Linked DNA regions of Bombyx mori. The protein of the gene in region 1 interacts with the protein of each later gene in a pairwise test. Links are inferred from orthologs where the notes say so. Each region holds a gene or a part of one and is shown in the gene's direction. Other genes may lie near its edges. The genes, in order: ubiquitin-conjugating enzyme E2 variant 2, tef2 and abnormal wing disc-like protein.

Region 1 (3,679 bases):
ATTTTCCAAGTACGTTTGAGTGGAGTTTATTTTTACGACTAATCGTACAAAAACGCGCGTTGGAGGTTGAGTCGAGTCGAGTTAAGCTCGTGTAAACGACTAAAGATACGGGTGTAAGGATTTCCATTTGTTTCTGTCCTTTGCTGTACTTATTATTGATTATGATTTGTCTATATTATTGTTTATAATACTAAAATGCAAATCATAGACCTAAAACGAATGAGGTGAAAGAAACCACAATAGTGAAAACACAACTTAGTTCGCTTTCAAATCATGGGATAGAGTCGACCGAGTAGGAACCCGCATCGGTCGCAGCGATCTCTATCGAAGAGCCCGGCTGTGTTTTTTGTGGGGTTGATGTCGATGCCCAACATTAATGATGTGTACTGAGTGAATACTACAAGCGAACAAACAATTCGTTAATGGCTTCCAACATAGAAATTCTGGTCTAAAATACGAAACCCGCTCACGCCCAAAAACCAAAGTAACAACGACGAATTAAAACGACTGTGGAAGTTTTCGAAGTTGCATCAAAACAATATTGGTTCAGTTGGGTCAAATTGGCAAAATAAAACAACTTGATAAGTGCCTACTGCACGAATTGAATGATAGCCAGAACGATGAATGCGTTAAGATCTGCCTTACGTTGCTTAACAGACGCAGAAACAAAATGATTTTAAACGGCATTATCACTTGCGATGAAAAATGGATTCTTTTTAATAAACGTAAGTGGTCAAAATGTTGATTGGACTCTAGTTCAGCACTTAGGCAATGCTTGCGAAAACTTATCCATAAAAAGTCATGGTCACTCTTTGGTCTACTGCCGATATAATTCATCATAAATTCTTACTTTCCTCTTACCTCTACTGCGGATGCCTACTGTAGCACAATAACTGAGAAGCTCGCGAATCTCAGACCAGCCTTAATCGCTCATCCTGGCTGCTTCTACATGATAACGTCCGACCTCATACAGTACAACAGATGGTCTCTGAGCTATATGAACTAGTTGGAAGTTTTGCGTCATCCACCGTACTCAGCAGGCCTTGCGCCGACAGTCTGTTCCTTGTTTCAAAGCCTGGACAAGTTCTTGGCAGGGAAAAAAATAATGCTTGAGAGTCAGTACAAAAATTTTGTTGGCTCTCGTACATCTGACTTCTTCAAGAAGAGCATATCCTATCGATAATAAAAATATAAAGAATGCTTTATCTTTCTGTAAGCCTAAACAGCAATTTCTTAGGTAAAGATGTAATATTTTATAATAAGAGGCACACTTGATTCAACTTTATGCACAAAAGCACGTGAATAAAGTTGAGTTCTCAAATTAGGTGTTGAAAAAAATTCTAATACTTTTGGCTGTCTGCGTTGTTTCTTTCGCCTAGCTAAGTGAATTAGCAAACAAAAAATCTATGGTTAATGCAACTTGTCAAAGTCAACAAAAAATTGCTAACCTTCATTCTCTTTATTGGAACAAAATCTAGTTTAATTAAAATACAATTACTCTGTTGTAAATTGCCATACTTACTTTAAATAAAACGAATCTGTTTAGGTAGCGCCTATGCAATAAAGCTTGACTGAATTAATCTAAGTTTTTACAGTTCTCTAAGCCGGTGATACTGTGATCATGGCGAATCCGTCATCAGGCGTTGGTAAGATTTTTTTTCGATCTATAGATTTTCTCTTCTTGTGTAAACATGTGAACAATAAATATTAACTTTACTTATTTTTTTTTACCAATTTAGTGGTGCCACGGAATTTTCGTCTCTTAGAAGAACTTGAACAAGGCCAAAAGGGAGTGGGCGATGGAACCATTTCTTGGGGTCTTGAAAGCGATGATGATATGACTCTTACTCATTGGACTGGAATGATTATTGGCCCACCAAGGGTAAAGTTTTTTTAAATACTTTTTTTATCTGTGATATCTAAACTACTTTTTTATAATTTAAAATTACAGACACCCTACGAGAATAGAATGTACTCCCTTAAAATTGAATGTGGAACACGATACCCTGATGAGCCACCAACAGCCCGCTTTATTTCTAGGATTCATATGAACTGTGTCAATAGTCAAACTGGACTTGTAAGTATAATGTTATGTTGAATATATTGCCAAACATTACCTTTTGATGAACAAACTATATTAACATATATTTAAATTATCAGGTGGATAATAGACAAGTCCCAATTCTTGCTAGATGGCAGCGTGACTATACCATCAAAACAGTTCTTCAAGAAGTGAGACGTCTCATGACTCTTAAAGATAACATGAAGCTTTCTCAGCCACCAGAGGGAAGCACTTTCTAGTTCCTTCAATCAAGTCTCAACAGGCCCAATCTACTTTCACATAAAACAATAATTTTAAAATAAATTAAATGTTCTCTATATTGGGAAAACTGTCATGCTGGTGCATGTACTGCAGATCAATTATTGCCTTTATAATTTAAATATTGTTCTGAGATGTAGGTTGGGTGTTTATCATATCTGATTCTAGTACCCATTTATTTTATCACATTACCAAAATTATTGTGGCCTTTATAAAAGTGAAACTTGCTTTTGGTAAAATTAAGGCTAGTTTTACTAATTTCTTCATTTTAGGCTAGCAAAACACTAGTGCTATAATATTGTTGTATTAAATTACTCATGGTCTTTAAAACAACAATGTTTAATAGTACTCATAATATGTGGAATATATAATAATATCTCAAACAATGTCTGATAAGCAAAAACATTTATTTATCTCTGAATATTTATCATAAACTTACTATGGGACTTGCTTTTTGCTTAATTATATTTGCTTTAGTTTTCTAATAGTTTTACATGTGTAAACATAGGTGTTTATTTCTTAGGAAAATAAGGTAAATGTACTATTGATTCTTGGTCTTTGTAATTTATGCATTTAATGCAATGTGCATTTGGCATAATCGCCAATTCATTAAAGAGTAAAAAAACTGCAGTAATCACAATATGTATCTGTAAACTCATAGTACCAACCAAATGCTAAGTCAAATTGTTTCATAACATGAATATTTTTACCAATGTAATACTAGCAAAAATAAATCAAATAACACTCAATATATGCCATTTATTTAAAAACTCTGTTCGTCATAGAAGAATAATGAAATATCAGAGTAAGTAAAAGAGATGTTTTTTTTTTTCATTTTTATATACTTGTTATTTATTTTCAAAGGAGTAGATTAATTTTGCTGAAAATACGTTTATATCTTCCTAGGTTGTATCAGATATGCACATTGATTGTATGTTGCTACAAGTTGGTGGGATGGGAATCGGACTGTTGTCATCACCTGGGTCTGGGTTATTAAGAGATGTTGATTTTGGCAACACTCAACATTAGGCCACGGGCCTGTTATACAGCGAAAGAAATGACTTTTGTAACTCTTTGCGTCTGTCAGAGCAGATAGCAAAGTCGTCTGCATCATCCACAAGTAAGTCCACGAGGCTGAGGACTGCACCACTAAGTGAGTCGAATATCAAGCAATACAGGAAGTAACTATGTACTGAGCCTTGATGATGCACCTTTTCTGTAACTGCTAATGGTTTTGTTTGAATCACTATTGTTCATACCACTTATCTCGCATGCATGTATGTACATGTCTGCTATGATGTTACCATAATGTTCGGACACGTTCTTGCGAAGGCTACACCGGGTGGTAGGTATCCCTTG
Region 2 (4,342 bases), on another chromosome or scaffold:
CTACTAGACAATAGGTGGCGCTCATTTAGGCTTAATAAAAAAAATGGGTTAAATAAATTGTGAAGATGTAATCTATCTGAAAATTACACCAATAAGCCAATCAAGTCAAATTATTTTACATGATAATAGCATAGACCTTTGTAGACTGTCCCGGCTGATGGGGAGGTGTTTAAATTACTAAAAAGCAGTCAAACCCGACAGGCAAAGGGACATCCTTACAACCAAATCTTTTGTAATAAAAGTAGGGCGTGTGCTATGAAAAGTTTAATCGAAAATGAAATAAATAAGAAATAAACAAGAAAAATGAATATTTTTTTAAAAAATTGTGAAAATTTACTGAGAGTTTATTGAACTTTTTAGTCGAGTCATGGAAACCATATTCAACAATTTCGGTGCATTTTCGTAAATTATCTACTTTACCACATACAAAATAAATAATTAGTCATGATTCTTACACGTTTAAGACTGAAAAACAGTAGCAAAAATATGAACTTAATAAATAATGGGAACGCCAGAAAAAAAGTTGTACGAATTGTTATATTTTGTCAATTTTTTTTTACTAATTTTCTTTTTGCACAAGACTACAGAGGTGGACTAAAAGCTTAAGATCTTTTCTACCAGTCAACCAAAGTTGGTAAAGTATTTTGAAAGATGCATTGCTTTTACTGAAAAAACCTAATTCATAAAATATAGAACGCATAAATATACACAGCTCATACAGCACTATATATATACATCCATACATTCCACATATATTCAATATTTATTATATATTTATGACAAAAAAATTATACAAAGTAAGTCTACTTATTAGATATTCCTGCCAATTCATTTAGCAAAAGTTGCCGAACCCTTCATTGAGAGTTATATACGTGATCAGTGATCATCTTGACATTGAGAGGAAGTAAAATTCAAATTAGAGATGTACGTGGGACAGTCAAGTAATAGATTATTAGAAGAACGCAGAATATATTATGCGAAAAATGTAAATTTTTAAAGTACCGTACCTACCGTGCATGTTGTCAATATCGCTGACGTAAAGCGAGAAAATTTATTTTTAAGCGCTATGTAGAGATGTGGTCATCCTTGCGGAGATTTAAAATAAATCAAAAGCAGTTATTATGAAGGCGGTCGGGTTGTTAAAAAAGGTCTTTCATGTCAAAATAAGAAAGATCAAAACTTGATGACGATGACGATAATCTAATAACCATTTTACTGATATTTTATTTCACCTCATTTCCATCTAGTTTGATTGAATATAGTTTCAATACAATCAGCTTGAATTCAGAAGATCAATTTAGGCCACAAAACACCAAACAAATTGTTATTCAGCCAAATCTGTTACGCGTCATAGTATTCAAAAAGATTACTAACAGACAATCTTGAAAATCGACTAATGCTCAATAACTCGTGTTGACATCTCGGAGTAAGCGTCTGGCAGCATTATATGTTGTCTATGACTCTTTTTATTTGACGTCGACCTGCGACATCCGGCCCTCGCAAGGGTCCTTTTTCAAAGCGTACGCCATTGCTGGCGTATGGTAGTTGGTTTAATAGAACAAAAATCATAAACCATCTAAAATGGTGAGTAAGGAAATCAGTTTTAGTGACCAGTAAAGTATCCCGGTGAATGTTTTCATACGTTTCACGTGCATATTTTATTAATTTGACGGAATAGTTACTGTAAAAGTTCTGCTTTGTTCGGGTCAGGTCTTTGTGAATTGGATGACGTTTTCAAGTGATGTGGTGCTTAAAGTGTTCGTACCGAGACTTCAACAATCACTCATCTCAAATATAATTAAACATTAAACAACATAATAAAACTAAACCTTTACAATATCGTGAATCTAAGTGTTAAATGTCTAAAATCTAACATCTGTGTTGTGTCAGCATGATGAGCTATTATTTCGTATGTGCAGGTGAATTTCACGGTAGACGAGATCCGTGGGATGATGGACAAGAAGCGGAATATCCGCAACATGTCTGTGATCGCCCACGTCGATCACGGCAAGTCAACCCTCACGGACTCGTTGGTTTCCAAGGCCGGTATCATTGCTGGTGCGAGAGCCGGAGAGACCCGTTTCACTGACACGCGTAAGGACGAACAAGACCGTTGCATCACCATTAAATCTACGTAAGTAGCTTCAAAAATACATATTGCCACATGGTGCACCGAACGTCATTGCCCTTGAACTTTTATGAGGTTAAGTTAACGAAAAATCTCGTTATATACAAATTATTATTGCTTTAATGCAAAAGACCACATGAGTGTACCAGCTGCGTCGTTTTAAATAAATATAACGTGCCTTTATAGTAGCTGATGTGTCGAAAAAGATTTCTCAGAAATGGTTTTTATTATTTACGAAATTTGCAAAGGAATCCGAAAAGGTTAGACCACACTGTTAGGTTAAGTTTTAGTTATCATGAAATACACCACGATAGAATCAGGTCAGTCATTTTCTTACTTTGGGATTGCAAAAGTGATTAAATTTCATAAAATTTTAATAATGTGTAGTAATTAAGTAACATTTTACCAACTAATCATGTTTAAGGAAAAGACAAATAATAATACATTAGTAATGTTTTGTTCAACACTTGGATTTAATTTAATAGCAAGTTTACTAAAAATTCTCTGATCTAAATGATGAATGTTCTTTACCATTAAAAGACTGATATGAATATTGAAGATCTTTTAGAACGGCCATCTGATGAATCATAAAAACTAAATTTGGGAATATTAAAAAGTACCATGAGTTTAATATCACGAATTTATTACCAGGGCCATCTCTATGTTCTTCGAGCTTGAAGAGAAAGATTTAGTATTCATCACAAACCCTGACCAGCGTGAAAAGAGTGAGAAAGGTTTCTTGATCAACTTGATTGACTCACCTGGACACGTTGATTTCTCTTCTGAAGTAACAGCTGCACTCCGTGTCACTGATGGAGCCCTTGTGGTTGTTGACTGTGTGTCTGGTAAGTTGAATATTAATTTTTAATAAAAATATCTTATTTAATTCTTTCTCATTGATTTGTTAATGACCAGTAATAGAGGAGCCCTTTATGCTATTTCCATTAAGATTTGAATATGACTAAATATGAAATTACTTAAAGCTACCTTTCAAGGTAGGGTGAAATGCTTGAAAAATCTGATATAATATATATAGTTGGCAGAAACTCAGGAGCTCAGTTTACAATTAACAAAAATTATTCTACTCAAAAAGGGCATTGCACTCGTAAGCTGTAAAGCTCAAAAAGTTGCATCAAAATTTGTCTAGTCAGTTTTGCCGAGACTAACAAAAAAACTTAGCAATGTAAAAATATTATAATGAAATTTAATTTTGTGTTAACCAGGTGTGTGTGTACAAACTGAAACAGTACTGCGTCAGGCTATTGCCGAGCGCATCAAGCCTATTCTGTTCATGAACAAAATGGACCGTGCTCTTCTTGAGCTCCAACTTGAAGCTGAAGAACTATACCAGACGTTCCAGCGTATTGTAGAAAATGTTAACGTCATTATAGCCACATATAACGATGATGGTGGTCCCATGGGTGAGTATTTAAAATAATAACTTCCTATAAAATTATCTGCAATAATCACAAGATTCTGTACAGTTTCCTTGAGTTTGTTCTGGCATTTTTGGGAGTTTCTATAAATTTCAAATAACAAACGGTTGATGGTCACAGCTTTTGTTGGACAACATTGAATCTTTTGATATCATGTTTTGGACACGTGACAAGACGCGCGATAGACGCTAGCGTGTAGCCATCAAGGTCATACACGGACGCACCTGTTATCTCTACGATTTATATTTTGTAGCCATTAAACTTACATTTCACTTTTTCATTTTATTAGAATTATAGAAACAATGCATTTGTGCACAGAAGTAGGTTGTAAAAATTATATTTTATTTGTAATCCAAAATTATAAATTAATAAGTTGAAGTTTATAAATAATAACTAGAATTAAACTCAATAAAAAATATACTGACAGATGTGAATCCATAATAAATGGCATTCAAAGAAAGTTATGGACTTTAAAGGCAGTGTCTTATCAGGCTATTATATTGATGTTCCAAATGGTGGGTAATTTCAAAGCAAATACATACTTATAGCATGCACTATCAGATTCCACAATAAGAGGGATCATAAAGTAATAAAAATAAACCTGTGAAGTAATAAATTTTGCATAAATATGGATGATAGGATGTGTATTGTAAGCTTACATATGTGCATATTTAATGAATCGTCTTTGGGTTTGTAAACTTTTCCACCAGGGACTCCATTATATTAATGCTGTTGAAAATTTGACTTCATGTCTTGAAAGTTTTTCAATGACACACAA
Region 3 (2,745 bases), on another chromosome or scaffold:
AAGTATAATCACAGTAAAATGGTGGTCATTTACTGAGACTTTTTCAATTGACTTTTTGGAAGATCCCGAGAAGTTACGTTCAGCAACTTTGTTTCATTTTCCCACATTTGTGCACTTTCACAGATATTAAACGGTTAATAAACCACCGTTATTACACATTTAAACCTGAAGAAACACTAAATAGACAAAATAAAATCACACAACTTCACTCCTCGCGTTCCCGCCAAAAAGTCCCCTGGTGACTGATTTTTTTAAGGGATTTTATGACCTGGTAACTGAGTCCTTTAAGTCATATCTTATTTTAATTTATATTCATATTTTTATGAAAAATGATATTGTGGAGTGAAATGAAATGAAGATGATTAATTTGAGACATTAATCAACTGGCATGAAATGAATTGAAATGAAATGAGATGAAATGGGATGAAATATAATCTCAGTAAAATGGTGGTCATTTACTAAAAAAAATTCAGTGGACTTTTTGGAGGATCCCGAGAAGCTACGTCCAGTGGCTTTGTTTCATTATCCCACATTTGTGCACTTTCACAGATATTAAACAGTTAATAAACCACCATTATTACACATTTAAACCCGAAGAAACACTAAATAGACAAAATAAAACAAATCACACAACTTCACTCCTCACGTTCCCGCCAAAAAGTTCCCTGGTGACCGATGTAGACTGATGACCATAGATTATACACTTATATAATTTTTTTCATGGCATCACGTTGTGCGTATTGCCACAGACAAAGGTAAGGAAACATAGTAGTACAGGAAAAGAATTTTACATCGGACGAAATTGATATCGGATAAAGGATAGGATCAGCAGGATAAAAAACTATCTCTAATACAAAATACTACGCTAAGGAAAAGAACAGTAATTAATAAATTAAATCAAATAGAATATTAATTATATACATATGTACTTATAATTGTATATTATTTACAGTAAGAAATAAAATTATACACTTATTACATTTCTGATGACTGAACGGACGGACCATTTTAGTTCTACCCAAAGAGTAATTTTGTCTATGTCTGTTGCCACATATTTTAGCAGCCTCAATACATACCTAGTAAAAATGAAATTCGAGACCTGTTCCAGTGAAAGAGCTCCCAGTAGCCTGTTCCAAAATAACAGCCTGTTGTGTTGCAACAAGCTTAATAATGTTTTAAGTAGAATATGTTCCACATAATGTAAGTCATACATAAAAATTGTTTTAATACATTTTTTTAAATGACAATCCTTCATTCTTTTTTTTTATTTGATTTTTTTAATATTAATGATATGTGAAACTAGTTTTGCCAAAATGCACTTATATTAAAACATTTAATATGTTATATATATAAGTATGTGTGTGCTATCTTTTTCTATTTCTGTACGTGAAAAGGGGAAAGAGCTTGTTCCAAACTGTTTGCAGTGGAGCGAAACAACGCAACATATAGAATATTATGGAACTGTTGTTTCGGTCTATAGACAGCAGTTCCGAGTTTTTTCACAGACGAACCTGTTCCGTTTAACTGTTCTGATAAATACGCCTTATCCCTAATACCTAGTCTATAGTCTGTAGCTGCCAGCTGCCACCTGCCACTTTTTAAATCATTGCCGGCTGTAGTGCACGTGTAGTTAATTGAGCACGTTAGTAATATTTCATGATGGCGGAACAACGTGAGCGTACTTTTATTATGGTTAAGCCTGATGGTGTACAACGTGGTCTTGTGGGCACCATTATTGAACGTTTCGAAAAGAAAGGCTTCAAACTAGTCGGTTTGAAATTCGTATGGCCATCAGAAGAACTTCTCCAGCAACACTACAGCGATTTGGCATCCCGGCCTTTCTTCCCTGGTCTAGTAAAGTACATGAGTTCAGGACCTGTGGTCCCTATGGTATGGGAGGGCCTTAATGTTGTGAAGACTGGCCGTCAAATGCTTGGCGCAACTAACCCAGCTGACTCGCAGCCCGGCACTATCCGCGGTGATCTCTGCATTCAAGTTGGGCGTAACATCATCCATGGTTCGGACAGCGTTGAATCTGCTAAAAAGGAAATAGGCCTCTGGTTTACGGACAAAGAAGTTGTGGGCTGGACACCTGCAAATGAAAACTGGGTTTATGAGTAAATTTATTTTAATCTGTATATTTTGTCTTGTTCTCATAATTTATGTTAAACATTCTGTGATTAAATGAGACATTTTCATACATTTGTCTGATTATTATTATGTCATTACCTTATTCAAGAATTATAACTATTGCCATTTTTTTCTTAATTTTCTAAATTAAAAAAAATCGTGGACAAATCTTCAAATTGCTAATGTACCTTTAAAATCTATATTCATGATACAAGGCTGGTTCATCTACACTTTCCTCCTTTAATACTTATACTTGAAATTTTGATAAAGTGCAGGGAAGTAGCAGGTACATCTATCTTTAAACAAAAAAATATTATTTGTGACTTTCCATTTTAAAACATATAATCTAATAGCTAGTTTTTTAACAAAAAGTTAATAGTGAATAATAATGTCTATATGAAAGAATTTATAGCCAAAAAGTTATCTGCATCTCTACAAGAATTTTAGCCTAATCCATTGCAAGGTTTCTCATTTGCGGTAGATCCTTAAAAACAAACTTCAATAGTAAAAAATATAATATGAACAGAGATGTCCACTGTAATTTTATTATCATTTAAACTTGGAATTTTATTTTCAGTTTGTTTCAAAGATTTCTTAAGCCTATACCTACCAGAA

Evidence for each region.
Region 2: the proteins of ubiquitin-conjugating enzyme E2 variant 2 (region 1) and tef2 interact in a two-hybrid assay, tested with the Caenorhabditis elegans proteins (2 studies listed by BioGRID). The link is inferred for Bombyx mori from reciprocal best matches to the Caenorhabditis elegans genes uev-1 and eef-2.
Region 3: the proteins of ubiquitin-conjugating enzyme E2 variant 2 (region 1) and abnormal wing disc-like protein interact in a two-hybrid assay, tested with the Caenorhabditis elegans proteins (2 studies listed by BioGRID). The link is inferred for Bombyx mori from reciprocal best matches to the Caenorhabditis elegans genes uev-1 and ndk-1.

Annotation. Positions count from the first base shown.
Region 1 is NC_085117.1:11,658,750-11,662,428, reverse strand, and holds ubiquitin-conjugating enzyme E2 variant 2, read left to right. Parts: upstream 1-1,378; 5' UTR 1,379-1,621; coding exon 1,622-1,646; intron 1,647-1,739; coding exon 1,740-1,882; intron 1,883-1,951; coding exon 1,952-2,077; intron 2,078-2,160; coding exon 2,161-2,301; 3' UTR 2,302-3,069; downstream 3,070-3,679. UniProt on the Caenorhabditis elegans protein: Involved in protein ubiquitination, but has no ubiquitin ligase activity on its own. The uev-1-ubc-13 heterodimer catalyzes the synthesis of non-canonical poly-ubiquitin chains that are linked through Lys-63.
Region 2 is NC_085125.1:13,071,025-13,075,366, reverse strand, and holds the start of tef2 (translation elongation factor 2), read left to right. Parts: upstream 1-1,484; 5' UTR 1,485-1,581; coding exon 1,582-1,584; intron 1,585-1,919; coding exon 1,920-2,134; intron 2,135-2,627; exon of another isoform or gene 2,628-2,737; intron 2,738-2,779; coding exon 2,780-2,973; intron 2,974-3,351; coding exon 3,352-3,549; intron 3,550-4,342. UniProt on the Caenorhabditis elegans protein: Catalyzes the GTP-dependent ribosomal translocation step during translation elongation.
Region 3 is NC_085121.1:5,954,864-5,957,608, forward strand, and holds abnormal wing disc-like protein, read left to right. Parts: upstream 1-1,609; 5' UTR 1,610-1,656; coding exon 1,657-2,121; 3' UTR 2,122-2,200; downstream 2,201-2,745.